Linked DNA regions of Mus musculus. The protein of the gene in region 1 interacts with the protein of each later gene in a pairwise test. Links are inferred from orthologs where the notes say so. Each region holds a gene or a part of one and is shown on either strand. Other genes may lie near its edges. The genes, in order: Eef1g, Klhl18, Get4, Ilf2 and Ech1.

The links.
Region 2: the proteins of Eef1g (region 1) and Klhl18 interact in binary tests that used the Homo sapiens proteins (3 or more experiments, as listed by UniProt). The two-hybrid records come from large-scale screens. The link is inferred for Mus musculus from reciprocal best matches to the Homo sapiens genes EEF1G and KLHL18.
Region 3: the proteins of Eef1g (region 1) and Get4 interact in a two-hybrid assay, tested with the Homo sapiens proteins (2 studies listed by BioGRID and IntAct, with this or other methods). The link is inferred for Mus musculus from reciprocal best matches to the Homo sapiens genes EEF1G and GET4.
Region 4: the proteins of Eef1g (region 1) and Ilf2 interact in a two-hybrid assay, tested with the Homo sapiens proteins (2 studies listed by BioGRID and IntAct). The two-hybrid records come from large-scale screens. The link is inferred for Mus musculus from reciprocal best matches to the Homo sapiens genes EEF1G and ILF2.
Region 5: the proteins of Eef1g (region 1) and Ech1 interact in a two-hybrid assay, tested with the Homo sapiens proteins (2 studies listed by BioGRID and IntAct). The link is inferred for Mus musculus from reciprocal best matches to the Homo sapiens genes EEF1G and ECH1.

What each region holds. Positions count from the first base shown.
Region 1 is NC_000085.6:8,965,139-8,970,793, reverse strand, and holds the start of Eef1g (elongation factor 1-gamma), read right to left. Parts: upstream 3,754-5,655; 5' UTR 3,581-3,753; coding exon 3,569-3,580; intron 2,579-3,568; coding exon 2,420-2,578; intron 1,633-2,419; coding exon 1,569-1,632; intron 1,431-1,568; coding exon 1,288-1,430; intron 951-1,287; coding exon 807-950; intron 1-806. Other genes in the region: Tut1 (speckle targeted PIP5K1A-regulated poly(A) polymerase), read right to left, coding at 4,634-5,655. UniProt on the Homo sapiens protein: Probably plays a role in anchoring the complex to other cellular components.
Region 2 is NC_000075.6:110,472,908-110,478,443, forward strand, and holds the start of Klhl18 (kelch-like protein 18), read right to left. Parts: upstream 3,788-5,536; 5' UTR 3,688-3,787; coding exon 3,559-3,687; intron 1-3,558. Other genes in the region: kinesin-like protein KIF9, read left to right, coding at 4,066-4,207. UniProt on the Homo sapiens protein: Substrate-specific adapter of a BCR (BTB-CUL3-RBX1) E3 ubiquitin-protein ligase complex required for mitotic progression and cytokinesis.
Region 3 is NC_000071.6:139,249,960-139,255,744, reverse strand, and holds the start of Get4 (Golgi to ER traffic protein 4 homolog), read right to left. Parts: upstream 3,422-5,785; 5' UTR 3,281-3,421; coding exon 3,126-3,280; intron 2,249-3,125; exon of another isoform or gene 2,144-2,248; intron 1-2,143. UniProt on the Homo sapiens protein: As part of a cytosolic protein quality control complex, the BAG6/BAT3 complex, maintains misfolded and hydrophobic patches-containing proteins in a soluble state and participates in their proper delivery to the endoplasmic reticulum or alternatively can promote their sorting to the proteasome where they undergo degradation.
Region 4 is NC_000069.6:90,473,809-90,479,554, reverse strand, and holds the start of Ilf2 (interleukin enhancer-binding factor 2), read right to left. Parts: upstream 3,355-5,746; 5' UTR 3,315-3,354; coding exon 3,310-3,314; intron 2,551-3,309; coding exon 2,491-2,550; intron 2,236-2,490; coding exon 2,193-2,235; intron 1-2,192. UniProt on the Homo sapiens protein: Chromatin-interacting protein that forms a stable heterodimer with interleukin enhancer-binding factor 3/ILF3 and plays a role in several biological processes including transcription, innate immunity or cell growth.
Region 5 is NC_000073.6:28,822,900-28,828,555, reverse strand, and holds the start of Ech1 (delta(3,5)-Delta(2,4)-dienoyl-CoA isomerase, mitochondrial precursor), read right to left. Parts: upstream 3,219-5,656; 5' UTR 3,196-3,218; coding exon 3,144-3,195; intron 2,683-3,143; coding exon 2,478-2,682; intron 2,372-2,477; coding exon 2,283-2,371; intron 1-2,282. UniProt on the Homo sapiens protein: Isomerization of 3-trans,5-cis-dienoyl-CoA to 2-trans,4-trans-dienoyl-CoA.

The DNA.
Region 1 (5,655 bases):
AGGGTAAATCATGGAGACAGATCACAGAATTCAGTTAGTCACGCACCGCAAGTTCTGCAGTGACTTGAACATGTACTTGCTGTGTGTTGTGGCCATGGAAGGATTATAATGAACCCTGTGAGGCACACCAGTCTGGCAAACAATGGCATTTTTTTTTGTTCTCACTGGACTGTAATTCTGAACCAGAATGGGTCCAGAGCTGCTGCCGCCTAGAAATCAGCAACACAATATTAAAAAAAAAAAAAAAAACAAACATGGGGGTTGGGGGCAGCTGGGGATGGCTACCTGGTTTGATTCCTAGCACACACATAGTAGCTCACAGCCATCTGTAACTCAAGCTCCTTGGGATCTGCATGCATGCACACACATATGCAAATACATGTAGACATAAGCTGAATACCACCTTGGACTTATCACAGATAAATAACTATGAGAATTCTTATACCACTGCATCTTTAAACACTGAAGTTAAGACAGAGACCTGAATCTGCCTCCAAAAGCTCTCGCTGCTGCAGTCACTATCCCTGTCTCTTACATCTTTGATTTTTGCTTTCTATTTTTGATATCACTATGTAGCCTAGGGTGGCCTTAAACCAGAATGATCCTCCTGTCTCAGTATCTCAAGTGCTGGGATTACACAAGTATGAGCTACCACACGCAGCCTTTATCCATCTTTAATAAGATGGAAACAGTCACAGTTCTCACTGTTGGGATCCCTACAATCATTAACTACTGGTCTGTCTTAAGCAAAAACAGGGTTACCCTAATACAGGTCTAACCCCTGTCACATGGGATATAAACCTTACCTGTTTATAGAGCCACAACAGGGTACAGACAACTGTAATATCAGCCAGTGTCACTCGCTCGCCCACTAGAAAAGTTCGAGTCTTCAAGTGAGTGTCCAGCAGCCCCAGGATTCGCTTCACCTCCTCTTTCGCATTTTCAGTGGCCTGTTGTTTTGAATACTCAAGCTTAGTGGGTACCAAGTCCCTTTCCTCAGATCCCCCCACCAACAGAACTAAAGAAGCCATTTAACCAGCCATCGACTCAACCCCCACCCTCTATCATTAGACTCTAGAATCAGTTGAAACTTATCAGAAATGAAATCACTCGTGTTAGATATCTTCATGATCAACATGACTTTATTTGCACCATACTGATGGTAGCCACTTTAGTCTGCATTGCCCCCACACTCCTGCTATCTTTTCCTTCATCTGTCTCCCAGTCCCAAAATGTAGGCTCTGACTCTATCTCTGGCCCAGCTTCTCCCCAAGTTCCAAAGCGTACCTGTTTGTTGTGGTGCATAATGCCCAAGGTGGGGAACACCCAGGTACTAGCTGGAGGAACGATGTCACTGTCAGCAAAGCTGACCCACTGCACCACCTGAGCTGCCGCCTCTGGCGTACTTCCTCGCAGCTCCTCATTGCTTACTGCAAAGGCAGACATAGAGCTTAGAACTTTGACCTCATGCCAAAACCAAGCCGGGTCTCTGATTCCACCTTGTCCGCCACAGCCGCTTCTACAGCCTTACCCCCATACCCTCTCACGCCTGTATCCCCACAAATTACCATAATAGGCAATGGCATTGCTCTCAAACACACAGAATCCATCATCACCCTCAAATGCTGGAACCTGTGGAGAAAGTAGCAGAAAACATAAACACAGAGATTTCTCAGTAGCCAATTCTCCAGGCTGAATTGTTCTAAATAATATGTTAAGACAGACAACTCTTGCTACGCTAATTCATGACATCTCAAGCTCAGAAGTGAAAATTACTTAGTATCCCTCATGATATGAATTCACAAGGGTGAAATTCAAACATAGCTAAAGTGTGGTGCCCCATACCCTTGTCTGAAACCAGCCAGCAAGCTACTGAGACCCCACCTCAAAATAAACAAATTCAGATATGGATGCCACCCAACAATCCCACAGCTTCACTGCCCAAATCATTAGGTGCCATCCAGACTTAGCATTTGCCTCTATATTTAGATTTGGATATTTAGCTCTACTCATGCTCTATGGGGTAAGAATCCAACTCTCAAGACATACTTAGTACATACATACAGATAACACCTGGTGAAAATACATTTTATCCTACAAATATAAACCAGGCCTGGAACTCCTGACAGTCACTGAACAGCTGTGAATACAATGGAACTTCATAATTACAATGGAGACAGGATCTTACTATACTTATAGGCTTGCTTCACACAATCTCCCTGCCTCGGTCTCCGGGAGCTTTCAAAATTATTTTTTTCCTTTGGGCAGTCAAGTTCAGAGGCTTTAATAGGTTACATTCCTAGCCCCTTAAAATTTCTTTAAAAAAATATATATATAAATAAATACACACACACACACACCATGGGGGCCATCTCCAGAATAATGGAATTCTAGAGATCCCAGATGCTTCCCCACTCACCTTGCCGGCAGGAAATTTTCGGAGAAATTCAGGGGTGCGGTTGGTTTGGCCAAAGTGGAAGTGGGGTGGTGCGGAGAGCACGCGGACCTGAGCCCCGCTGTACTGAGCAGCGATGAGGGCCTTGAAGGCCCTCCAATTTTCAGGGTATGTGTACAGGGTCTACAAGAGAAAGGGTGAAGGATGGACTAGAGGCAAGGAACCCTGAATGCCACTCCCCACGCACACTTCCATGCAATTCCAATGTGCACAGCTTAGATTCACTCCTAGTGAACCGAGTATGCCCCATGTAATCAGAGTCCTCTGAAATACCAAGAAGAACATCCCAGCTGCTAAATAAAGCTTACCGACAGATGTGACCTCTCTTAAGGACATCTCTAGAGGCATTCTTCCCTTCAAAACTTCTGGTCCCATCTGCCTAAACACACGAACACTCACACCCATCTCTCCCAGAACCCTTGTTTCATTCATTGGCGGTGACCCGGAGTCTAACTACTTCCAGGCTGCTATCACTTCAAAAGCACACACACAGACCAAGGGATTTCAAAGTTCCCCTCAGAATCGACACGCTGAATTCTAATGTTCATCAGTTATTCTTCCTGAAATGCCTTTCTTTGCACATGGCGAATTAGCAACCCTCTGGTCCTGTCCTGCAGTGAGTTCCCAGTTGTCTCCCTACTAAAATCTCACCAGCAGGGTCCATATGGGCTCACTTCACCCCCCCTTTATTCCTCTGGCTCCCAAACCTCCCCGAAGGTCAACTCCCAACGTGCCAGTCGCCCCTTCCCACAAAGACCCTCTCCTTTCCACGTCCTCGTTGTTGTCCCACAAAACGGTGGCAAAAGTTCCACCAACCTGCTCAGACGCCACACCTCAAAATGGCAGTGAGGTTAAACACTTTTTAAAGGTCCAGACAATGGAGACCCAGCATCTTTTTTCTCCTCAACCCCAGAACGTTCCACCTCTAGCCTCTGAGCCCCAGCCTCAGTTCCCCTCCAGGCCCTAGAAACCATGCTCTCCGACCGTACGGCTTGTGAACCCCAGATCGGCTCGCGGCTTGGGTCTGAAACTCCCCTGGCGCCGACTGGCCCCACTCAGGCAAAGGATGGCGGTGGATAGGGTGACCCTAATCACCGGAGCCGGCAAACTTACCCCAGCCGCCATGGTGATTCCGCAGAGAAAGGGGGTGGGGCTGTCGGTGCTGCCGCAAAGTAAGCCGCAAAGGAGACAAGGGAGGAGGAAAGGAGAGAGCAGTGTGGAAACAGCGGCCGGAAAGCGAGGACGGCATAAAAGGCATACGCACGACAGTTCCGTCTACAGCCCCGCTGAGTTGGAAAAAGCGAGGGGTGGGGCCCGCAGCCTGGAGCGCAGAGAGCGGGCGCCTGCGTAGTATAACTCTGGACGATCCTGCCCCGCCCGCGTCGCCGACCAATCGGAAGCCTGATAGGAGACGGAGCTCACCCAGGGAGGGGAAAAGTGTGAGAACCCGGCGGAAGCACCGCCCCTCGAAGGCTGGTATCTGGAACCCGTGACAAACTACAGGAACTGCCTTAAGGAAGGGGTGGCAATTTACTGAATTCCTTTTGTTCCTGTTCGGGTTTTTTCTGTAAAGGGTCTGTCTGTTCAGCTGGGGCCCACGGCCGAAAACATCTGAAAGTAGGTCTGCTCCGATTAAACTCCGTGCTGTTAAAACTTACACAACAAAGCAGCACGGACCAACTTGCCACGTCACCAGCACCACTCAGGCTTGGCTGCGCCCCAGAGGGTCGGGTAAGGCAGCCCAGTTCTGATACAATAGTTTACACATATCCAAATTTGAAAATAAATCTTGACTCCAGCTTATGGGCAATTTGAACTCTCTTTCACGTTAAAGGATAGAAAAGACAAACCCTAAACCCAAATTTGTGGTTCCCATCACCTGGAGCAGCAGGACAAGTCTCGTGTGGGCAAAGGTTGTTCTCAGAAATCAGTGCCTTTGCCTCGTGGAGGTGGCACTCCCTAGGAAAGTGCTGGCAAGTGGGAAGGAGAGCTCTGAAGTGGAAGTCATAGGACTGTTTTAGAGTAGTCAGGCCAGAAGCTACATTGAGGCAAAGAAAAAAGGCGTTACCAGGAGGAAAACAAAGACCTCGTAATGGTCTTATGAGGGAGTATGCAAAAGAACATTAAATGTCTGTATGAAATAAACTAGCAGCTTTATTGTTTTTGAGGTTTGGTTCCTCACTTGAGGAGATTTTTAAGTGCTTGAGGGATAAAACCCTGTAGAAAATGATGAAGACCAGGGAACAGGCCTTGGGAGTCCTGGAGTGGGGCCACAGTGAGTGTCTGCTCAGCCTGGGAGGCAGATGCCACAAAGCTGAGGAGGGGCTCCCCCGGCGGCCTCTCTTGCTCACTATTGGGTCCTTTTAGTTCCTGGGTCACACGAGCTTCCATTGCCAGCCACTCTGCTCCTGTGGTGGGACCTCCTCTACCTTCTTCCTTGGTTTGTTGCTGTAATCGTCTCCGGGCACGCCGCCTCCCCTGCCATACTTGGTGCCACAAGGCACAGCGCCAGCTCACTGATGATGGGTGTGATGCCTCCTTCCCTGTCTCACCCTGAGACCCTTCTCCAGCCACTTCAGGTTTCATGGGATTATGCTCAGCTGCCTTGTCTAGACAGTTTGCAGTCATCAGGGGCAACTCCTCCTCTGGTGGTCCCGAGTGCAACAAGGCCCAGTCCTGAGGTGTCTCTCGAACCTCTATTACCATTTCTTCTACCTCATTTTCACTGTGGTCCCCTGCACATCCCTGTGGCTCCTCTTTCCCTTCCTCGAAGCTCTTTTCTTGCCCACCAAGTCTCTGTCTTTTGTTCACCCCTCCCAAGGGAGAGTCTTTAATTCTGGCACCTTCTGACCGTCGTCTCTTGGTTCCCTGTTCTATGTGGCATCCTAGTGCTTCCCTTAACACATCCACCAAAGCCATAATGACCTGTGGAAAGGGGGCAGAGGGTAAGGGGATGAGCTTGGCAGACAGCAGGGAGCTAGGGGAGCTGGGCTGCAAAAGCGGGAGCAGTCCCCAGTCCCGGCCCCGGGAGGAACGCTGCTGGTACTGGAGACTTCGGCAGTAACTGGCTGCTGCCCCACAACAGCTCTGCAGACGTTTAGCCACCCGGCCGGTCACATTGGCTGCAACATTGTGACTCAGGTCAAAGGGGTCCTGGAGATTCATGGGGCCAAGGCGCAGCCCTTCCCAGAGATCAGAAG
Region 2 (5,536 bases), on another chromosome or scaffold:
AGCACTTAGGAGGCAGTGGCAGGTAGATCTCTGATTTCAAGACCAGTCTGGTCTACAAAGGGAGTTCCAGAAAAGCCAGGACTACACAGAGAAATCCTGTCTCAAAAAAAACAAAAACAAAAGAACACACAATAAATAAATAAGTAAACAAACAATAAAACACAGATACCTACTATTCATTGAGCATTTATTACATGAAGTTTGAAGCTAATTAACTAATTGAATCCTTAGCAGTCAGGTGGGTAATGATGTCCATTCACAGAGGAATAGACTGACTCACTAGCATTTAAGGAATTTAAGTTTTGTCAGCTATGAAGTGGCAGAGCCAGGATTCAGATCCAGGCAGAGCCTGTGCCATATTGCCTCTCAGATCATAAGATCAGCAACATTCCCAAGAAAAACCCAGCACAGAGAGATTACAAACGCCAGCAAATGCGTACAAGATGAAAAGCAGACAAGTTATGTCTGACTTCAATGGAGAATTCTGAGCATTCCAGAGGTCAGCACCTGCAGAACCACCTCCAACTCCAAGCACCAGCAACACTCCACTCCTCTGTGTGTGTGTCACCAGGAGGGGCCCAGAACAGGCAATACTCGTCCTCTCTACCAGGCAAGCAACTGCTGTCACTGCCCTAACAAAAAACAGGTGGTTACCTTCTCAACAGGTTGAGCTCCCTGACTCCCGGCTTGGGGAACTAGCGCATTACTGACCTCAAAGGAGATTCATTGACTCTGAATACATCCTGAGAGGACAAGTCCTTTATTTTATAGCTATGGTTCTCACAATGCAGTCCTAGAGGAAGACAGCATCACTGGTGAACTCGACGGGGCTCATGCCAGACCTATGAATCAGAAATCCCAGGGTGAGCGATACGAACAAGGCCACCAGGTGAGTCTCATATCTGCTGAAGTTTGCAAACAACTACTCTAATTGGGGTGGGGTGGGGTGGGGGGGAGCTAGTTATTAAACCGCTAACCAATTCTTTAGAATCTGCTTATTTGAAAAACAGTCTGGACTCATGGGAAGGTGGAGAAAAGAGTAAATTATGAGAAACCAAGACAGATTTTGCAGAGAAGCTCTTGTGAGTAGTGACTGTAGCATTGGTGTACTAGGCCTTTCGATGGCTCCTAGCACCAGAATTCTCCTGAGGCTCTATAGAAGGGGGTTTTGGAACCAGTGAAATAAATGTTGTCTACAGTCTAGCTCCGGTCTATGCTTTTACACAGGTCCTTATGACTCTGACCTGACACAAGCAAAGTAACTGAGACTTGCACTCTCAGTCGGAAAGACGTTTGAATGATACAATTGTTCCTTTGCCTGAATGGAAAAGATTTTCGTGGGGAAAAAAAAAATCATACAAGCAATTTCTGCTGTAAGTTTGGTAGATTCAGCATTTATGTTGAACGCAGAGGCAAATGTATGGCTTTAGGGAAGTAAGTATCTGTGACCACACTCCATCTATCTACCACACAGCTTTCCTTACTGGCTCACCTCTTACAGCCCGAATCTTTAAAAACAAACACTTTTCTTTTTCTGCCGTCTCTTTGTGTGTGTGTGAGAGAGAGAAAGAGAGAGAGAGAGAGAGAGAGAGAGAGAGAGAGAGAGAGAGAGAGAGAGAGCGTGCAGGTGCCACAGCACACCTACGGAGGGCAGAGGGCCATTTTCAGGGGTCAGTTCTCACTTCCACTATGTGGGTCCCAGGGATGCAACTCAAGTCATCAGGCTTGGCAGCGAGTCCCTTTCCCCACTCAGCTTGTCACCAGCACACAGCCTAAATCCTAGCGAAAAACTTCTTTCTTATTACTGCCTTTCAGCAGCCTCTACATCCCAAAGGTCGGTGCCACAGTTAAATCAGTCTGCTTCCAAATCTCTACTGGCCTTGCCATCTTCTGCCTCCTCTAATCCATCTTATTTTTTCTTAATCCTCTTGGTTTCCCTATCTTATCTGAGACGATCTGCCCCTTCTCAGACCATTTCACTACTCTAATTAGAGATCCATTTCTTTCAGGATTGATGAAAAAGTTAACATAGGTGCTATACAAAGAATACCAAATATCTAATCCTCACTAATGGTGAGATTTAAGAATCGTCTTTAAGCCGGACAATGGTGGCGCACACCTTTGATCCCAGCACTTGGGAAGCAGAAGTAGGCAGATTTCTTAGTTCCAGGCCAGCCTGGTCTACAAAGTGAGTTCCAGGACAGCCAGGGCTACACAGAGAAACCCTGTCTCAAACAAACAAACAAACAAACAAACATTAAACACAAAAAAAAAACCCCACAAACAAACAAAAAAGAATCATCTTTAAACTGAGTGGTGATGGCTCACATCCTGACTTGAAAAACCAAAAACAAAGAACAAAAATTATTTTCACATTTCGAAATTTAAACTTAAAGAGATTAAGTAATGTGCCCATGGTTACAGCTAGTGTGTTCTTTCTCCAAAGCCACCCTCAGTTTGTTTTGCTTTTTAAAGTGCCAAACCATTAACCATTCAACTTTTTTTTTTTTTTTTTTTTTTTTTGAGACAGGGTTTCTCATAGACCTGGCTGTCCTAGAACTCACTCTGTAGACCAGGCTGGTCATGAGGTCTGCTTGCCTCTGCCTCCCAAGTGCTGGGATTAAAAGAGTGCTCCACCACTGCCCAGGAGCCACCCTATTCATTCCTACCAGTCTGACTCGAATACATGGAGAAGCAATGCTTCCTTAACTCAGTAGAAGATAAAGTCTAAGAGGTGTCTGTGTCTTTCTGTTGTTTTGAAACAGGAAGAGGGAGTGTCACACCGAGACAGTAAGAGCCTTCCAGGCAAGGTCCAACAGGAAAAACCACAGGCAGGCAGTATCCCCACCTGGAGGGATCTACCTGGCTCAGCAGGGCACCAAGGTGCAGCCCTGCACGACTCAAAGCACAGGGGGCACTGGCCCTTGACACCAGACCAGAATGCTGGATGGGAACAGGTGGCAAAAATATCCCTCTCCCCAAACAGTCCTTTAGCCTGGCCTCCAGGACCTTTTAAGGTGGTGACAGTAGATTGTTTTCCAGCATGGAAGAGAGTAGCCCACATCAAAAGATTTCCAGATCCGATTCTAAAAGCGCCAAGGGCAAGCAATGACTCCTGAAGAGAAGGCTTAGCATTTACAACAGCACAGCCAACTTCAAGGAGCCCAAAGAAATGACTTTAGGACAAGATAGGATGTCTTAGTGGTACCCATCGGAATGTGGAGTCAGCCACCGCCCCTTCCTCCATGGTCTGCCTGTAAGAACATTTTCTCTTTTCTGTATGACAGAAAAGGAGGCGGATACCCCAATGTCTCCTGCTCTTAGGGCGTCAGAGGCACACCTCTCAATCTTTCCTTCCAATGGCTGAACGGCTGTCCCCTTTACTCTCCCAACTTGGCCTCATTTCCCCCTCTGCGCTTGGCACCGCTCTCTACTACTCTGTTCCCCTCTAACCTTTCTCCACCCACAGTCGGCTGGACCACTCTTCCCCTGTCCACCACCCTTTTCTTCCCGCTCAGTCCCTTTCCCCTCAGCCAGCCACCGCCCAGACCATGGTACCTTTAGCGTCACGTCGCATAGCTTGCCCTGCCGCCGGATCTCCTCCATGACGCCGTAGCCGCGACTAGGCAACTCCGACACGGAGAAATGCACCAAGTCCTCCAGCTCCTCCGCGCCGTCCTCCACCATCTTCCCCGGCCGCCGCAACTGCGCAGGCCTGGCCAGCAGGCTTCACACTAACCAGGGCGGGGCAAGGGCTCACGCTGAAGGCTGCCCAGAACGCGAAGCCGGAATCTCACTGGCCTGCGCGGCCACCGTACCCACAAAGTCCTCGACACCGGAAGTCTCGCTGCCCCGCTTCCTGGTTTATACATAGCCTTTTTCCCCCCGTAACTCAAACTCAGGCTTCGCATATACAGCTACTCTAAGCCTTCCAGGTTAATTGACTCCATCTCTGTCTTCTTTGTTCAGCTCTGACTTTCCCTGTATCTTTAACGGAGAAATGTGGGCTTAAATTCCGCCACCACCCTACACTACTTCCGTAATCCCTGCAGGCTTCCTGTTGCCATGGCGACTGTGTACACAGCCAGTCGGCTAGCTGTCCTGGTTGCGAACAGAGCTCCCTCAAGTTGCTGCAGTTCTAGCGGTCGCTCTACCCGAGCGCCACTGCCCCGCGAGGTGAGCAGTGGTCACGAGCCGGTGGCGTTAGGTAAAAGGGAAACCTGGTGGGGATATCCTCCCAGCTGCTGTCAGTGGCTGGGTTCCTAACTCCTTTGGTTCTTTTATTTGTGAAAAAAAAAAAAAAATCGGAGACACCCCTGGAGATGCTCCTTTCAACCTGGTCGCAGCTTAGGGGAGCTAGGAGTTTCTGATGTTCCTTAGTCCCACGAGTCTCCACTGAGGTCCCACGACTTGCCTTAGACGGAGAGGGCGTGAGTTTGAGTGTCAGAGATCATTAAGACACGGTGTCATCACTTAGAGCCTTCTAACTACCGAAGAGGAAAACCCTCTAGAGGGGCACAGGAATGGGACCAAGGCAATCTGTCACACACATTTTAGAAAAGCATTCCACACACTGGGTGAGAAATAGGAGAGTGGCCAGTTTTGCCTGGGTGCAAACTTTGGGTTCATCTCATGCTGAGATGCAGTAGGACCCAGTGTTGTGGGTTTAAAGGGTGTTTGTTTCTTAGTCTTTATCCCTGATCGAGGTAAGAGCATGGTAGGTATGAACGCCTAGTGCCTATGAGTAATCCCATTGACTTCTTGTCAAGCCTTCGTGGGTGTTAATGTATATCCTGCTCATTCCCAAGCCCAAAACAAATGGAGAAACACTGACTCTCTCAGCACAGAGGTCTCCTGGTGGCTCGTCAGAGTCACTTTATTATGTGAAGTATGTAAGGACTGTGTTCAGATTTCTGGGAGTATTCCATCCTGAGGGGGAAAAAACACTACCTAATGGGAGGGTATCTTGAGACTGAGCATGGCTTCTTGTACTGGGAAATGAAGTATCCTCCCCAGAACGCTGCAAGTTCAGGGATTAGAGTAGTGTGGGAGGGGAGTGACATATCACATACCTTGGCACTCTCTCAGTAGTGGCTGAAGATGGTGGACCCACCTATGGAGATTCAGTCACCCTCTGACTTCCAGCCATGAGTATCACCATCAACTACCATTTCTTGAGCACCTGGTGTGTGCTGGGCGCTGTTCTGGACCTTGTGGGGGGCATCACAAGAGGTAAACGGCACGACCCTTATCCTCAAGCAGCTTGTAATTTGACTTGGGAGCTGAAGCCCACATAAATGAAGCGGCATAAGAACGGTAGCAAGCAGTACCTCAGTAAGTGCGAAATGGCATGTGCTTCCTTCCGCGGCACTGTTGGCTAGTGGGCTCCCGAGAGGAGTATAGACCCTCGGAAAGGCTTGTTGCCAACTGCGCATGACTCCAGGGATGCTCGGCGGCATGAGCATCCGGAGGACCCTGGAAAGGTCGGATGGGGGGGCTGCATGTGCACGCGCGCGTTGGAAGTTGTAGGGCAGAA
Region 3 (5,785 bases), on another chromosome or scaffold:
CAGAGCTCTGTGCAGAGACAAGGTAACTTGCCACAACAGGACTATGGCTAGGCAGGGGCTCTGAGGCCACACAGGCCTGATCACTGGGCTACTTGGCCCCTTCTCTTCCATACAGGTTAGGAGTGCTGAGGTTAAAATTAGGTTGTGACACATTCATAGGACAGAATACTCCATAAATGTGGATCAGATTTAGAACATCTTGCTGCGTGAACTAGAAAGCCACACAGATGGAGAGCCCCTTGATCTCTGCACAGACCCCAAAGTGAAAAGAGCTGTGCTGAACAATAGACAAACTGCCCGGGGATAGAGAGGGAGTCAGGGGTCACAACCATGGGCATTTTCAGCATCCCCAAAGTAAAAACCGTATGAAGATATTCACTGTAAATACATAAACACCACTTATCCAGTCAAAGAAGATAAAAAGCCAGGGCTGGTGATTTGACACAGCTTAGTAGGTAAGGGTGGCTGTCACCAAGACAGTCTGATGAATAGAGTCAATCCAAAATGACAGAAGAAAAGTGGCTCCTGCAAGCTGTCCTGACTGCCGTGAGCGAGTACTATGCTGTCCAGCAGTCCTGCCCATGGACCGACCCTGAGTCTAGGTGGCGCTCTATAGGCACTCCTGGGGCCTACAGTGTTGAGAGAAGCTGAGGTCTACTTGAGTTCTGTAACAAGTACTGGGCCCTGGTGGAATGCTGTGTCCCTGGAGCACACTGCACCCCAGTCCTCTTGCTGGTCAGTTCTTTGTATGCCGATAACACGTGGCTTCAAACAGTTACAAGGAGGAACTTGCCCATCACCATCCCTAGTCCACCGTGACCAAGGGAACTCTTCTAGTCACACAACACCAACAAGAACATCCTCAGTCACAGCAGGGTTGACTCAAAACAAGGACACGCTTACTCTCCGGATCTCACTTTTGTTGATTAAATAAAACAATGAGTGGGGGCAGTAGGGGCGCAAGCCTTTACTCTAGTGTCAGGGAGGCGAAAGCAGGTAAACCTGAATTTGAGGCCAGGATGGTTTGCAGAGTGAGTTCCAGTAAAATAAAACAAAAATGTAAGACACCAGGGTGTACCCTGAGTGCTGCAGAAGTATACACAGTGACTGGCCTGCTACACAGAGTAACCCCTGTAATCCAGGGGTTAGCTCTGTCTAATCCTTTGTTTCTTCACTCAAAAATTGCTTGGGCCAATTGGCTGATCCTATTCAGTGATAGACAGCTCAACTCAGAGGAAAAACCAACCATTCAGCAGGCCTGATGACACAGGCTTGACATCCTAGCTACTTAGGAAGCTCAACCTGTATGATCAAGAATTTAGGTCTGCCTGAGTCAGACCTGAAGGCACACCACCTCAAAATTTTAAGTGGAAAAAAACAAAAGGGAGTGTAGCGTGTGAGATGTCCTGGGCTCTATTCCCAACAGGACAAAACAAAACCAAAAACCAGTTACTTTATCAATCATTATGTAGTTGTTTCTACATGTAAAAATTAACTTTATTTTTTAAAGACAGGGTTTCTCTGCCTTGGCTGTCCTGGACCTCACTTTGTAGAACAGGCTGCCCTCCAACTCACAAGAGATCGGCTTGCCTTTGCCTCTTGAGTGTTGGGATTAAAGGTGTGTGCCACCACACGTGGCTACAGATTTTTATCTAAAGAATACAGCAAGTGCCTTCCCAATATAATTAATATAATTAAGAGTGTTTTAGTTTTTGTTTTTAAAGGCACTAGGGACACTGTGATGAAACTAGATGTCGCCAGACTGGTTTGTATTTATAGTGTCTAGTTTACAGAAAAATTCCCCAACAAGGCTGCCCTTCAGGTAACCTGTGATTAGAGCAAGGGCTAATGTTTCGATAAGCTGACTAAACCCCGCTGCTCCAAATCCAGGGCGCCCAATAGGTAAAGAAAACAGGAAGTCTTTGACACCAAGGACGCCAAGGCTCATCCCACACCTGCCAACCCCCTGGACTGAGCACTTACGGAGGGAAATACTGCAAGGCTGGTCCCTGATGGCTTGCTAACTACTGCGTGTGGCCTTAACCATGCCCCTCCCTCCCATGTCCACCTGGCTACTTGCCAGGCTCAATCTGGGCATGTGGGAAGTGGGAATTGTCCTCAGATGTAAACAAGTATCACTCACGAGCCAGAGGGTTCCCAGAGCACTGATTCTTCAGCCCCCAACAGGGCTTCAAGGCAGTGAGGCCACTGTGTACAGTGTCATCCACTGTCATGGCAGCTTTATCCAGCCCACAGAACACACCGTGCTCAGATCAAGCTAGAGGGAGTGACTGTAGGAGGAGTTCCACAGCACGTGGGCCCTAGGTGACAGTAATGGGTGGATGATAATGTGCAACTGGTACAAGATAACCACTTTCCACTCCTTTTACTGAAGGCCTAAAATTGCCCTAAAACAAAACGTATTTTAAAACGAAAAGTAGGTCTAAGGGGCACAGGGGCCAAACCCACACTACGGACATGGAGCAGAAATGCTGATGTCCTGTAGTCAGGAATAAAGTTCTACGTAGGAATTATCAGCTGGCAGATGCACAGAGGCAGGAATACAGATGGCCACAGGCTGGCCCACGGTGTCAGCATCTGACCACACTTTAGCCGGCTGTGCAATTCCAATCACTGGCCACAGAAGGGAGGACTAGGTGAGACTACTCTGACAACAGGACTCGCCAACCAGCGGAAGCCTTCAGAGAAAGGGAGGCCAGGCGAGGAAGAGGGTGTGATAGAGAAGGAGTGGCGGGAAGAGAGGCCTGTAAGAGGGAGGAGGCCTAAGTGAAGAGGAGAGAGGCTAGTGATAAAACTGAGTCCAGGGAAGGGGAGGCCTGAGAAGAAGTTGGCTGGGGAAGGAGGCCTGGGAAAAGGAAGGAAGGAAGGACGGGGGAAGGGCAGCTCTGAGAGTAAGGCAGGGACTCAGAAAGACGAGGCCGAGAGAGGAGGAGGGGGAACCAGGCAGAGAAGAGGAGGCCCTGCCGAGTAGTACAAGCCCGCCGCCCCCGCTCTGCTCCGCGACAGGCAGCCGCATAAACCAATGAGGGTGCGGGGCGCCGCAGCGCAGCCAATGAGCAACAGCGGAGGTGGGGCCTCGGCGCTAAGCCGCCACCCGCGCCCACCTGAAGAAGAGGGTCCGGTACATCTGGTGCGCCTCGTAGTAGTCGCCCTTCTCGACGCTAGCACGCAGCTTGCCCTCCACGCGCTGGACGCCGCCGCGGTTGCGGGCGCCGTTGCGGGCGCCCTCCTGCTCTGCCATCGCCGCCGCCGCCGCCATGGGCCGGCGTTCCGCGCAGAGCTGACGCTGTCGCAGGCGCGGTCGGCGGCGCCTCCCGGCTTCCGTCCCTGCGGCCGCCGCACTCCTTCTACGGTGGCCGCGAGGAGCCGTGCGAGGGCGGGCGCGCCGCGGGCCGCACGTGATCGAGGCGGAGCCTGCCGGGATCGCGGGAGCCGCGCGAGGACACGCCCCTGAGGGGGGGTCTGAGAAGGACCCTGAGAACACAGGCCAGGAAAAGCCGACGGGGTGGGGCTCTCAGACTATCGCGGGAACTTGTTTGTAGTCTTGCGAGAGTGGGCGGGACCGAGGTCTTGGGCGGGACTACACGCTGAGCTGTCCCCAGCTTAGTGTCATCACTGCACAATGTAATCAGCCACGTAGGCTGCGCAAGTAAACTGAGGCAGAAGACTCAGCGATGAGGCGTCTTATTCGCGCGCCCCCTGAAGTTACCCTTAGCGCATGGATGAACCAGACACATTTTAGAAGCTTTGACCTGTCTCACACCTGCCCGGGGAGTGCCCCTCCAGGTGGCAGTCATCCTTAGTGACATCTGGGACAGGGCAGTATGCTCAGGCTAGAACCTGTAATGTCTCCAAGAAGACCTGGCTGTGGTTGGAGCAGGTGACAGCAGAGAAGGGAGGAAGGTCATGATTAATTGGGGGAGGATGGGAGGTGCTGGCCAGGGTCAGAGTTGTCCTCTGACAGCATCCAAAACTCAGGTTACAAAACCCTACACATATCCTTAAATAATGAGTTTGGATGCTGGAGATGAAGTTCAGGGCGTTCATTTCTGTCAGCTACACACTCTCAGCCTTCCATTTACTCTGGCCCTTGAACTTGTGACTCTCCTGCCTCAACTTACCTACTTTTTATGCCTGCACCCGGGCCAGCTGGACTAGCATTTTCTGCACCACACCCATGTGCAAGCAGAAAGCATGGTAACAGATTAAGGAGTCTGTAAACATGATCTCTTGCTGTGGGGTCCGCTTAAATCCAACCTAAAACCAACATAACTCAAGACACCAGGTCAACGCAGGTAATCAAGCCGCTATTGGTCAGGGCCGCAGAGCAGATGAAGCTGAAGTAAAACCCTGAGGGAATACTGTACAGCCTAAAGGATGAAAATATAGAGAAAGGGGGAGGTGGGTGGGCAGGCTGTAGCACTGTCTAATCATAATCCGTCGTAAGGGGTTGGACAAGGGCGTTCCCACTGTATCAGGATAGGTTGGTTCCTAGGCCTGGAAACATAAACATTAGTTTGACCCTGCCAGCAAGATGAAGTTGTCCTCGAGATGTCTGGACTCAAGACAACTATTTCCTTACAACAGAAGCTGTTCAAAGTAAGCTATTGGGAAGTCCCTAGCTCCCCTAGGGCCTGGGAGCTTGGTTTCTTGATATGATTAAATGGAGCCTGAAAACAAGATGGTAGTACTTAGAATAAATGTCTTTTGCTGGTTCCCAACACTCTGACAGTACCGTGCTCACCCTTCTGTGAAGAGGGATGATGCTCTGTGGGCACTACCACATAAGGAAGGACCACTTGGATACAGCATTCTACCTGATGATCCAGACACCTAGTAACAAAGGGGCAAGTGATTCATGCTGCATGAGTGTCCGACCAGGGGATGACTTGTCTGGATGGGACAGTGTAGTACAGTTTGTCATAAATTCTTTTTGGAACTTTTTCCCCTCCTAGATAGGGCCTATTATATTGCTCTGTTTGAGTGTTCTGCAACTTGCTATGTAGAACAGTCTAGTCTTGAACTTACAGTGGTCCACCTGCCTTTGCCTCCTGAGTGCTGGGATTAAAGGTGAGCACTACCCTCCTGGCTGGAATTCTCTCAAGATGTTTAGCAGGTCCTCAAGAGAGCAAAGCCCTAGTAACAGGCTTCTCTTTAAAACAGAAACAGCTAGGGGCTGGAAAGATGGCTCAGTGGTTAAGAGCACCTACTGCTCTCCCAGAGGTCTTGAGTCCAATTCCCAGCAACCACATGGTGACTCACAACTTTCTGTAATGGGATCTGATGCCCTCTTTTGGTGTGTCTAAAGACAGCTACAGTGTACTCATATACATAAAATTAATCTTTAAAAAGAGAGAGAGAGAAAGAGACAGAGAAACAGCTGCATGGTGTGGGCTCAGCACTCAGGCAGAGGCAAGCAGATTGGACGTCGAGTCCAGCCTGGTCTACAGAGTGAGTTCTAAGATATAAGAGCCAGGGTTAAACAGAGAAACCTTGTCTTAGGGTGAGAGGGAAAAAAAGTAAAGGAAAGCCTATGAACTGAGGATGCTTAAATCAACGTGACACTTCTGTATACATGGTAGGAACCAGAGCTGTTAAAAGGTATGAAAAATGCTCCAAAAATATATTCGGCAGGCTGTAGTAGAAAGGTGCTCTGGCTCTGGAAGCTGAGCTCAGGGCCTTGTGACCACATCCAGACCCAAAGCCTCTGGGCCCACTTCCTTTGAGCCTGACTGGAATGTCTCTGAGCGGATTCCTCTAAGCA
Region 4 (5,746 bases), on another chromosome or scaffold:
TGTGGTACACATACATGCAGACACACACACATAAATCTTTAGAATTAAAAAAACAAAACAAAAAAAAAACGGGCCAGAGAGATGGCTCAGCAGTTAAGAGCACTGACTGCTCTTCCAGAGAACCTGAGTTTAATTCCCAGCAACCACATGGTGGCTCACAACTATCTGTAATCGGATCTGATGCCCTCTTCTGGTGTGTCTGAAGAGAGCAATGATGTACTCATATATATATATATATTTTTTTTTTTGGTTTTTCGAGACAGGGTTTCTCTGTATAGCCCTGACTGTCCAGGAACTCACTCTGTAAACCAGGCTGGCCTCGAATTCAGAAATCCACCTGCCTCTGCCTCCCAAGTGCCAGGATTTTAGCCAGGGCGTGTGCCACCACACCCAGCTAAAATAAATATATCTTAAAAAACAAAAAACTAGAAAAGTCTACATTTAATTTTATTTTCCCCAGGGACCATTTCAAAGCCAGTACACCTTACAACACTTGTTTTCACCTCCTTCAGATGTTCAAGTCCAAATGCAAACCTTGTTTTTCTGTTATTTCTTTTGAGACGGGTCTTATATAAAATCACAGGCTGACCTGAACTTGCTATGTAGCTGAGGATGACTGTAATCTTATCTTCCTGTGTCTTCCTCCTTTGTACTTAGATTATTAGTGCGTACCCTCATACTGATATATGAAATGCTCTGGGCTCTGTGCATGCCAGTCAAGCACTCTACCAACTGAGCTACAACAGCAGCCTGAGTACTCATTACCTTTATATAAAAAGAAATAAAGGCCCGGCAGTGATGACCCTCATCTTTAATCCCAGCTCTCAGGAGGCAAAGGCAGGCAGATCTCTGTACATTATAGGCCACCCAAGGCTGTACAATGAAACCCTATTTACACACACACACACACACACACACACACACAAACAGAAATTACCCAGAGGCCAGAGAGATAACTCAGCAGGTGAAGAGTATTTGCTACTCTTGCAGAGGAACCAGATTTGATCCCTAGCATACCCAAGGCAGCTCACAACCTCTGACAAGTCACCTCTTCTAGCCTCCAAAGGCACCAAGCACACATATGGTAAATATTTATATAGGCAAGTACTTTATACATACACATGAAATTTTTTAAAAAAGCAAGCCAGGTGGCAGACACAAGTGGGTTTCTGAGTTCCAGGACAGCTAGGGCTACACAGAAAAACCCTATCTAAAAATCCAAATATAAATGAAGAAAGAAAGGAACTGATTATAACCCATCCGCCATGTAATATAGTACACACTTTTAGAACTGTGGAGGCAGAGACAGGCAGATCTCTGATTTCCAGGCCAGCCAAGGTTATAGATACAGACACTGTCTCAAAATAAATAAGTCCTAAAAATTATTTTTTAAAAAGACATTTTTTAGACAAATATTACAATGAAACTGTAAAGGAATTATTTTTCCTACCTTGCTGACTCTGTTTTCTATGTTTTGTTTTTGTTGAGACAGTTCACTCTAGTAACCCAGGCTGACTTTGAACTCTGAACATGGTCCTACTGCTCAGGCTTCCATTTCTGGGATTACAAAAGGATTACAGTCTCTTTAAAGACTGACTGGTGAACTGGCTTGTTTTTTTAAATATTTATTTATGTGTATGTGTGAGTGCCACAGTGAATGCATATGCATCCTGTGTGCATGAGCCTGTGGAAATCAACAGGGACATAAGATCCTTGGAAATTAGAATTACAGACAGATGTGCACCGTTATGCAAGAACTGGAAAAAATTTGTAGCCTCCACTAGAGCCATGTTATACCTGTAGCTATACCTATAAGTAGATAGTGACATATAATAAATACAATAATAAAATAAAATTAGGTGTTAGGGATATAGATCTAACATGTTCAAGGTCCTGGGTTCAAATCTCTAGCACTCATACTAAGTAAATAAAAATTTACACCAGATGTGGGAATGCATGACTGTAATTCCAACATTCAGGAGGTTGAGGGAGGAAGATGGTGAATTTGCAGTCAACTCAGTAAGTATTCATAGAGTTCCAGGCCAGCCAATCATACAGAAGACCCTCACTCAAACAAAGAAAAGATCCACTCTTGAATCCTACTCCAAACAGTATCTGACTCCATTAACAAGGGGGCTCCATTTCTACACCTATAAGTGAACAGGAAAGTCCTCCAAAGCCAAAATACTCACCAAATAAAAATCAAATGGGATATGGGGCACAAAAGGCCTGAACCTGAAACATGAAAACAACCCAAAGTTATTCAAGCAGAAAGCACAAGAGAGGTACACAATGCACCAACCAATTCTGTCTTAAGAATTGGAAAAGTTTCTGAGCTGTATCATTCTTAGCAAAAGGTCAAATCCACTTAGTAGGACATCAGGAAAAGAAATGCTTTTCGTGACTTTCATGAAATGAAATAGAACAATCTACTCCAAACCCCTTTCTACTGAAACAAACCAAGGCAAAGATGCAAACAGCCACACTCACCCTCCACCAGGCCCTCCTCTGGAACCAAAGCGCCCACCACGACCACGTCCTCTGTCACCCCTAAAAATACATACATTTTACTCTCAATTCGCTGAAAAAGGTCTCCATCACACCATCAATGTTATTTCAATTTGACTTACCTTGACCGCCTCGAACTACAGAAGTGGATAGATATTTCATGCTCTCTTCTCCCAGATTCCAAATGGTGCCCAATGACATCCTAATTCTGGACTTTTCCTTTTTCTTGTTTTTGAGACGGAATCTCATGTATCTCCTGCCTTACCTCCCAAGTGCTGTGAGTGCAGCTTTCGACACCACACCCCACTTCTAATTCAGGATTTTATCAAAACTCACATCAGGAAAATACGAGTTTCAGAACCTGATATACATACCCCTACTAAGGTAACCTACGATCGTGAGGCACACCAGTCCTAATATGCACAGTAAAGTGACTTATCATTTATTAATACAGCATTAACAGTTACGAGGCATGTACTATTGGTCAAACACTAGGTACCAGAAAATTGCGCAACGCTCCAGCCTACTTATTGCGCACGGAGGGAGATCTTCCTGGGCCGTTAAGACCTCTCCTCCATCCCCTCCCGGCCCCCGAGACCCAGGTATCAACACAACTCCCCCTGCTGGGCCCCGACCCCCTCCGGGCCCGATTCCCGGAGTCCGCCAGCCTCCTCCTGCTCCACTCCCCCGCGGTCAGGCTTTCCGCCGGCCGCCCAGATGCAGGCCCTTGTTCCTCCGACTCCATTTCAGCCAGGCCCCCGAGACTTCGGCTGGAACTTTCAAGCACCTCTGTCCACTTACCTCATGGCTCGCTTAATCCTGAACAATGGAGGCCACACAACCGCTCTTCGCTGGGAAGAACTAGGCTGGCTGAGAAACGTCTGGCCGGCGTGTCCCAACAAACGCCTGCGCGATAGGCTCCCGCCTCACTCCGTCCCGCGCGTTTATTGGTTAACGCAGCAACCAATGAAAAATGCCCTGTAAAGGAGCCAGCCAATAAGAAGACATAACAGGGATGAAGGCAATTTTCCCCACTGACAGCGGAGGGCGTTCAGAAGTTGAGGCGGTGAATGGTAAGCTCTTCTATGGAAAAGAAGAGAATGCTACCAGTGGGTAGCAGAGTGGCGCAGCGGAAGCGTGCTGGGCCCATAACCCAGAGGTCGATGGATCGAAACCATCCTCTGCTATCGGAGGCTTTGTTTTTAAAATTTTGACAATCTAATTAAATTTTCCTTTCCATAACAAGAAATACAATTCTTTTTTCTTCTCCAACTTTTTTTTTTTTTTTTTTTTTTTAGATAGCGTCTTTTTCGGTCATCCTGACTTACATAATACTCGTTAGTGTAGCCCGAGCTGTCATCAAACTCAGCAATCTCCAGCGTGTGCCGCCTCACCTGAAAACATAACTTTTACCTTATGGAAATATGAGAAATAACTTAATTCCACTTACCACCACTATTCCCTCGATAGCATTACTATTATATGATTCTTTTTATTGAAAAAAATTCATACAATATATCTTTTTTTTTTTTTTTTTTTTTTTTTTTTTTTGGTTTTTCCGAGACAGAGTTTCTCTGTGTAGCCCTGGCTGTCCTGGAACTCACTTTGTAGACCAGGCTGGCCTCGAACTCAGAAATCCGCCTGCCTCTGCCTCCCGAGTGCTGGGTCATACAATATATCTTGATCACATATTTCTCTTCCCCAGTTCCACCAGCTCCTCCCCACTTCGCTATGTTAGGTGATTCTGACAAGTATTGGTGTATTACTTACTTTCGTAGGCATATATTCCTTTCAAGTAACCTAACTGCACCTTCATTAAAATAGGGAATACTTTATCGTGTTAGCAAGGTGAGTCAGCAGGTATAATCGCGACAACCTGAGTTCAACCTCTGAGACCCACAGTGGTGGAAGGAGAGCAGCGATTTCTGCATTTTGTTCTCCGACCTCACTATAAAGGTTGTGGGTGTGGTGACACCCATAAACACAACATAAATATAACAGAATTAAAAAAAAAAAAAAGAACGCTATTTTGGCAAACATGGTGGAGCATGCCTTTAATTATAGCACCTGAGAGGCAGCAGCTGGAGGATCTGAGAGTTCAAGGTCAAACTATTCTATGTAGCCAGTCCATGCCAGGTAAGTCTACATAGGAGATCCTGCCTCACAAAAAGTCTTTCATCATCTCAGAAAGGTAACCATATTGGATTTCTACCATCATGGGTTAAGTTTGCCTTTAGATTTTCTTTTCTTTCCTTTCCTTTTTTCTTTTCTTTTTTTTTTTTTAAGATTGATTGATTGATTATGTATACAGTATTTTGCCTGCATGTATGTTTGCAGGCCTGGAGAGGGCATCAGATATATGGTCCTGAGCCACCATGTGGTTGCTGGGAATTGAACTCAGGACCTCTGGAAGAGCAGTCAGTGCTCTTAACTTCTGAGCCATCTCTCCAGCCCTAGGTTTTCTTTTAATTGGGAGTGGCTCAGAAAAGGCTCAGCAGTCAAGAGCACGCACTGTTCTTTCAGGACTAAAGTTCGGCCAATCTCTTCTGCCCTCTAGCACATTGTACGCATAAGCATGTATACATATACACACATAACTTAACATAAAATACATCTTTAAACCCAACCTTGTGGTGCAGGCCTTTAATCCCAGCACTGGGGAGGTACAGGCAGGCAGATCTCTGAATTGGAGGCTGGCCTTTGATCTACAGAACAAGTTCCAGGACAGCCAGGGCTGCATAGAGAAACCCTATCTCAATAATAATTAAAATAATAATAATAATAATAATAATAATAATAGTTTATTTACTTAGGGACTAGAGAGATGGCCCAGCGGTTAAGAACACTTGTTATTTTACTCTTGCAGAGGACCAAGAAGTGTCAGTTCCCTTCACCCACATGGTGGCTCACAATTGTCTGTACTCCAGTTCCAGGGGGTCAAACATAGTTCTCTGACATCCACAGGCATCAGGTACGCACATGGTGCACAGACATATATGCAAGCAAAGCATTCATACACATAAAAAAGGTTCATCTAAAACATACCTTAAGCTGCTGCAAAAAATTAAGTTTCTTCATTACTATGTGTGCATGGTTTGAGGTAGGGAGAATGTGCCACAGCCAAGTCCAGGTGAGTCTTCTACCTGTTCCTGGGTCCTTAGGATCTACTCCACATAGTCTCTCTATGTAAACTTTGCCTGGAACTTGCTGTGTAGACCAAATTAGTCTACATACTCAG
Region 5 (5,656 bases), on another chromosome or scaffold:
TAAGAGCACTGGTGGCTCTTTCAGGGGATCTGGGTTCAAATTCCAGCACCGACTGCCTGTAACTCCAGTTCCAGGGGATCTGACACACACACATAGACATACATTCAGTCAACTCACCAATGTACATAAAATAAAAATAAATAAATTATTAAAAAGAAAGAAAGAAAGGAAGTAAGAAAGGAGGAGAGAGAGAAGAAGAAGAAGAAGAAGGAAGGAAGACAAACAGACACAGGACAACCTTGGGCTGGTGCCTTTATCCATGTGTACACACACGTAAATGTACTCACACATATGTGCAAAAATATAAGACAAAATAGAATAAACAAGAGGCAGGCTGGACAGCAGGTCAAGGCAGGAGGATCTAGAAAGTCACTGAGGCCTCATCACAAAGAACCAACTAGAAATCTGAAGACTGCAAACAAAACACCTGAAGCAAAAATGATCACCGGGTGGGAGCTGGAGACATGGCTCGGGGGTAAGAGCACCAGCTGCTCTTCCAGAGGACCCGGGTTCAATTCCTAGCACCCACATGGCAGCTCACAACTGTCTCTAACTCCAGTTCCAGGCTATCTGACACCCTCACACAGGCACATAAAACACCAATGCACATAAAATAAAATTAAAAAAAAAATCATTGGGTGGGTTTCACAGCAGAACAGAAAATTGGGAAACAAGCCATGCTAAAGTGGAGAAGGGGTCAGGGGTCAGAGAGGAGAAAGGGTAGTGGAGTAACTTCCGTGCGTGTGTGTGTGTGTGTGTGTGTGTGTGTGTGTGCACGTGGGGGGGGGGGGGCAGGGGTAGGCAGAAGTCACTGCATGTAACACCCTTGGCTAGACACCCCTGTAGGTTTTGAAAGGTCCAGAGCCTCATTCAAGGTTACAGATCTACTGCGGTTAATCCAACTTCAGGATCCTAGCAGGTTCTGTTGAGCTAATTTCTATGCTTGAATTTGTGGTAGGGAGGGAATTCTGGGCTTTGAGCCAACTCCTGAGTACACACACCCACACACGGGTGAATGTTTTAAATTAGACTGAAAAAAAAAAAAAAAGAAAAAAAAAAAAAGCTGGGCATGGTGGTGCAAGCTGTTAAATCCCAGTGCCCAGGAGGCAGAGGCAGACAGATCTCTGTGTTCCAGGCCAGCCTGAACTTGGTCTACAGATCAAGTTCCGAGATAGCCAAGGCTACACAGAGAAACCCTGTCTCAGAAAACCAACCAAACAAAAACCCACTGAGGACTAATGGCGTAGCTCAACAGTTAAGAACCTATATACTTTTTAAAAAAGATTTATTTATTATTATATCTAAGTACACTGTAGCTGTCTTCAGATGCACCAGAAGAAGGCATGAGATTTCATTACAGATGGTTGTGAGCCAACACTGTCAAATTGATCACACCCAACCTGTTAGTCCAGCCCTAGGGGGATTTTTTTTTTTTTTTTTTTTTAAAGATTTATTTATTTATTATATGTAAGTACACTGTAGCTGTCTTCAGACACACCAGAAGAGGGCATCAGATCTTGTTACAGATGGTTGTGAGCCACCATGTGGTTGCTGGGATTTGAACTCCGGACCTTTGGAAGAGCAGTCGGGTGCTCTTACCCACTGAGCCATCTCACCAGCCCTAGGGGGATCTTATGTTACATATTATTATATAATCATAAGTCTTTAAAAAATAAATAAATAAAAATAAAAACTTTCATTGAGAACCACTATGGAGCCAGCAAGATGGCTCAGCAGGAAAAGGAGTTTGAAGGCTTGCAGGCGAGCAGGACCAGCATCCAGGTCCACTTGATCATGGGGAAGGATAGAACCAGCTTCCAAAAGCCGTCATCTAACTTTTGCACACGTGTGCATGCACGCGCACACAAAAATAAAAGTAACTTTTTCTTTTTGGTTTTTCTAGACAGGATTCCTCCGTGCAGCCCTGGCTGTCCTAGATCTGGCTCTGTCATCCAGGATGGCCGTGAACTCCCAGAGAGCCACTGGCCTCTGCCACTCCAGTGCTGGGACTAAGGGCACATGCCACCGGCCCAGTATTTTTGTTTCCTTCTAGAAACAAAAGGAGGCCAAAGCATTGAGTCATGTTTACAATCCCAGCATCAACATTTAGGAAGCTGAGGCAGGAGGATTACTTCAACTTCTAGAGTAGCCTAGTCTAAATAGAGAGTTCCAGGCCAGCCAGGGGAGGGAAAAAAAAAAAGAGTAAGTGACAAAATCAGCAAAGAAAACTGCTAGCATGGCTGCCCCAGCAGGGGGAGAGGCGCCAGCAGGCAGACAAGTACCTGAAGTGAACATCTTTCCTGCACCGGAGACTACAACAGCCCGGCAGTCCGAGTCTTTGGATATCTTTTGGAAGCATTCCACCAACTCCCTGCAGAGGCATAAGAAGTAAAGGGTTATATCTGGAGTGGGAAGCCCCTGTCCCTGCCCACCTCTGTCTCCTCTAGCAGATAGGCTTGTGGGCTTGCAGGCCAGACCTCCAGAAAGCCCTGTTCATGGCATTCCTCTTCTCTGGCCGGTTTAGCTGCACGTGGAGAACATGCTTCTGGGCACTTGTGACTTGAATAGACTCATAGTTGTGGTCTGAGACTTCCTCGGGGGCTCTCTTGGAGGCCTCTTGTGCAGAGGAGCTCAGAGATCGAAGGCTGATGTTGAAGTACAGCTGGCTGGTACCTCTCAGCTCTGGGGAGACAAGGAAGAGACTTTGAGAGCCTAGAATGGGGACATTTTAACAGTATATGCTCTTTAGGGGCGCTGGCATGACCAGACATAACTTTTAAGATTAGGGTATGCAAGCCAGGAGGTGGTTGGGAGGCAGCATTTGGAAGGCAGAAGCAGTCCGATCTCAGATCGAGGCCAGCCTAGTCTGCAGAGAGTTCCAGGATAGCCAGGCCTACACAGAGAAATCCTGTCTCGAAAAACCAAGTTTCAGTCTGAGACTACATTAGACCCTTGTTTGTGGAAATGACCCAAGATTGGGGACAAAGAATTCAGGTTGAAAGACAGACCTAAAAAATTATAATTTCATTTTAAATTACAAAAGGACTCCTGAGTTTAAAGCGACCCAGGCAGACTTCCCGTCTTATCGCCGCTATAACAAGACGACACAAAAACGAGCCCCCACGGATTAAGGGGTAACTCACGCTGCATCAGCAGGCCGCGGAGTTTACTGGAAACTGTCATCGCGGTAGCCATTTCTGGAGCTCCGGAGCTGTGCGACTTACTCCCGAAGAAAAACTTAGGGGGCGGGCACGAACGTTCGCCATGTTGGTCAAGGGCACCGAAGCCACCGCGGCCACCGCCCTTTAGCAGCGAGGTCCCACCTAGTTCGCCATCTTTACTAAGGGCAAACGAAAAAAAAAAGCACTCCTTCGTGTCTCATGTGTTTGGGACGTTGCTTAAACCTTTGGCCCAGTGGGACGCTGGCCTGAGAAAATATTTCACAGTGCTGTTGGAAAATTGTGTATAAAGTTCATCACAACGCTGTGTTGGAACAAAATGCAGACAACTGAAATAGTCAAGGACAGAAGGGCAGCAGTTTAGTTGCTAGGATACCGGCTGGCCAGAATTAAGCAGTTTTTATTCCCTTACCGCCAGAAGTTGGCTCCTGGACCAGGGAAGTTATACGGATTCAAGGTTACTGGACATTTAGAAGTGCGTAGGCAGGAGTAAATGGCTCTAACGCCACCCTCCTTTGTTTTGTGGTGCGAGGGGACTGAGGCAACATAGGCAAACATTTAACACCGAACATATCCCCAGGCTCTTCTCCCTGATTTATGTAAGGTCTATATAAAACCCCAGGCTTGCCTGTAACTTCAAGTATCCTCCACCTTTTGCCTCCTGAGAAGGGATCATCCTACACCCAGCCCCCGCAACAAAGACTCTGAAAAGAACCCAAGGAAGTTCAATGTGGTGCCTCATACCTTCAATCCTAGCACTCAAGAGACAGGGGCAGGGAAAGAAAAAAAAAAAAAAAAAAAAAAAAGGGAAAAAATCCGGGCAGGGTGGCGCATGCCTTTACTCCCAGCACTGGGGAGGCAGAGGCAGGCGGATTTCTGAGTTCCAGGACAGCCTGGTCTACAAAGTGAGTTCCAGGACAGCCAGGGCTACACAGAGAAACCCTGTCTCGAAAAACCAAAAAGACAGAGACAGAGACAGGGGCAGGTGGCAGATCTCTGCGAGTTCAAGACAAGCCTCTTCTACATAGCAAGTTCCATTACTATAGAGACCCTGTCTAAATAAATATAATAATATGCTGTTTGTTTCTAGACAATTTCTGTGTAGCTCTGGCTATCATGGAACTCTGTGAACCAGGCTGGCCTCGAATTTATAGAGATCTGTCACCTTCTACCTCCCCAGTGCTGGTATTCAAGGCATGTGCTACCACTACCACCTGGCAAAGGCTATATTTTCAAAACAGACATACCAAAAAAAAAAAAAAAAAAAAGCCTGAGAAAGTATTACCCAAGAGCATAAAATACCGTCTAAGTGTGCTCCTTAGGGAGATGTTTGCCAAGAGGGTGAACAGATGTCTCTGGGCCAGTGGGACAGTAGGGGATGTCTGCTACCCAGACTTACAGCTGAGGTAGGCAGTCCCCACCCCACCCCACCCACACAAGGGACAGATGTAGCAACTACCAGGAGTAATGTTTTATCCTCCTTTTGTTGGAAAATCCTATGCAGATACTAAAATGTGAGCAGAAAGGACACCCTAGTTTCAGCTAAGAAATTAGGAAGTTGTTGCCTCTTATCAACAAAAAGAAACCCTGGAACAAATGGCTGTGGTGCTCTTGGCAAACCAAAGCACCTGCAGGCTCAGTCTACACCCCTGTGGCTCCACTCTGCTCACCCTGCCCCCTACCCTAAACTCAAGCTCCTGGGCGTCCCTTCCAGCTTCATTCCCATCTAACTCAGCCACTTTGGCCATGTTTGCTCTTTGCCCTCTCTCCTCTTGGTCCAACCCCTTTTGTGACTCCCTACTGGGCATGTTCAGTCTACTACCTTCTTTCCCTGCTCTGGACCCTTCCAGATGCCTCTGGCTGTACCCACTTCTATCTTCAAAACCTCAACCGTAGCTTGGAGTGGTCATGTCATCTCATTCAGTAATGTGCATCATTTAACTGGTATAAAAAAGTAATTGTGGATGATACACGTGGAGTGTTTATACATTTACAGGTCTAATTGCCAACAGAAAATGAACTGGATAGTAGATAAAACTCTTTGAATCTCCCCGATTGTTTTACAGCAAACTAGGGTGCAGTTAGTACTTTCCATGTGATACTGTGACTCCAGATGCTGAAACGCCAGTCTGGCTCTCCAGGACGTTGCCACCACTGTCACTAGTGTGGCCTGCTCCCACTCTCCAGGACATCAGTTTTTAACCTGTGTTCCTCCTAGGCCTTGTTTCTACTGAAGCCATCTCCGGAGGTTTCCATCTAAATCCCAGGACTATCCACCACGGACTTAACAGTTTGCATCCTTCAACCCCACTTGTAAACTCTGCCTCAGGATCAGTGAGTTAGCGAGACCCAGAAATGACTTTCAGGGCCAGTAAACCACAACGCACAATCATCTCTGTACACAGACCAAGGTCCAGTTGTCATGTCAGAACAGCATCAGAACTACCTTATTTTTAGACTTTTAACTTGAGTACTCT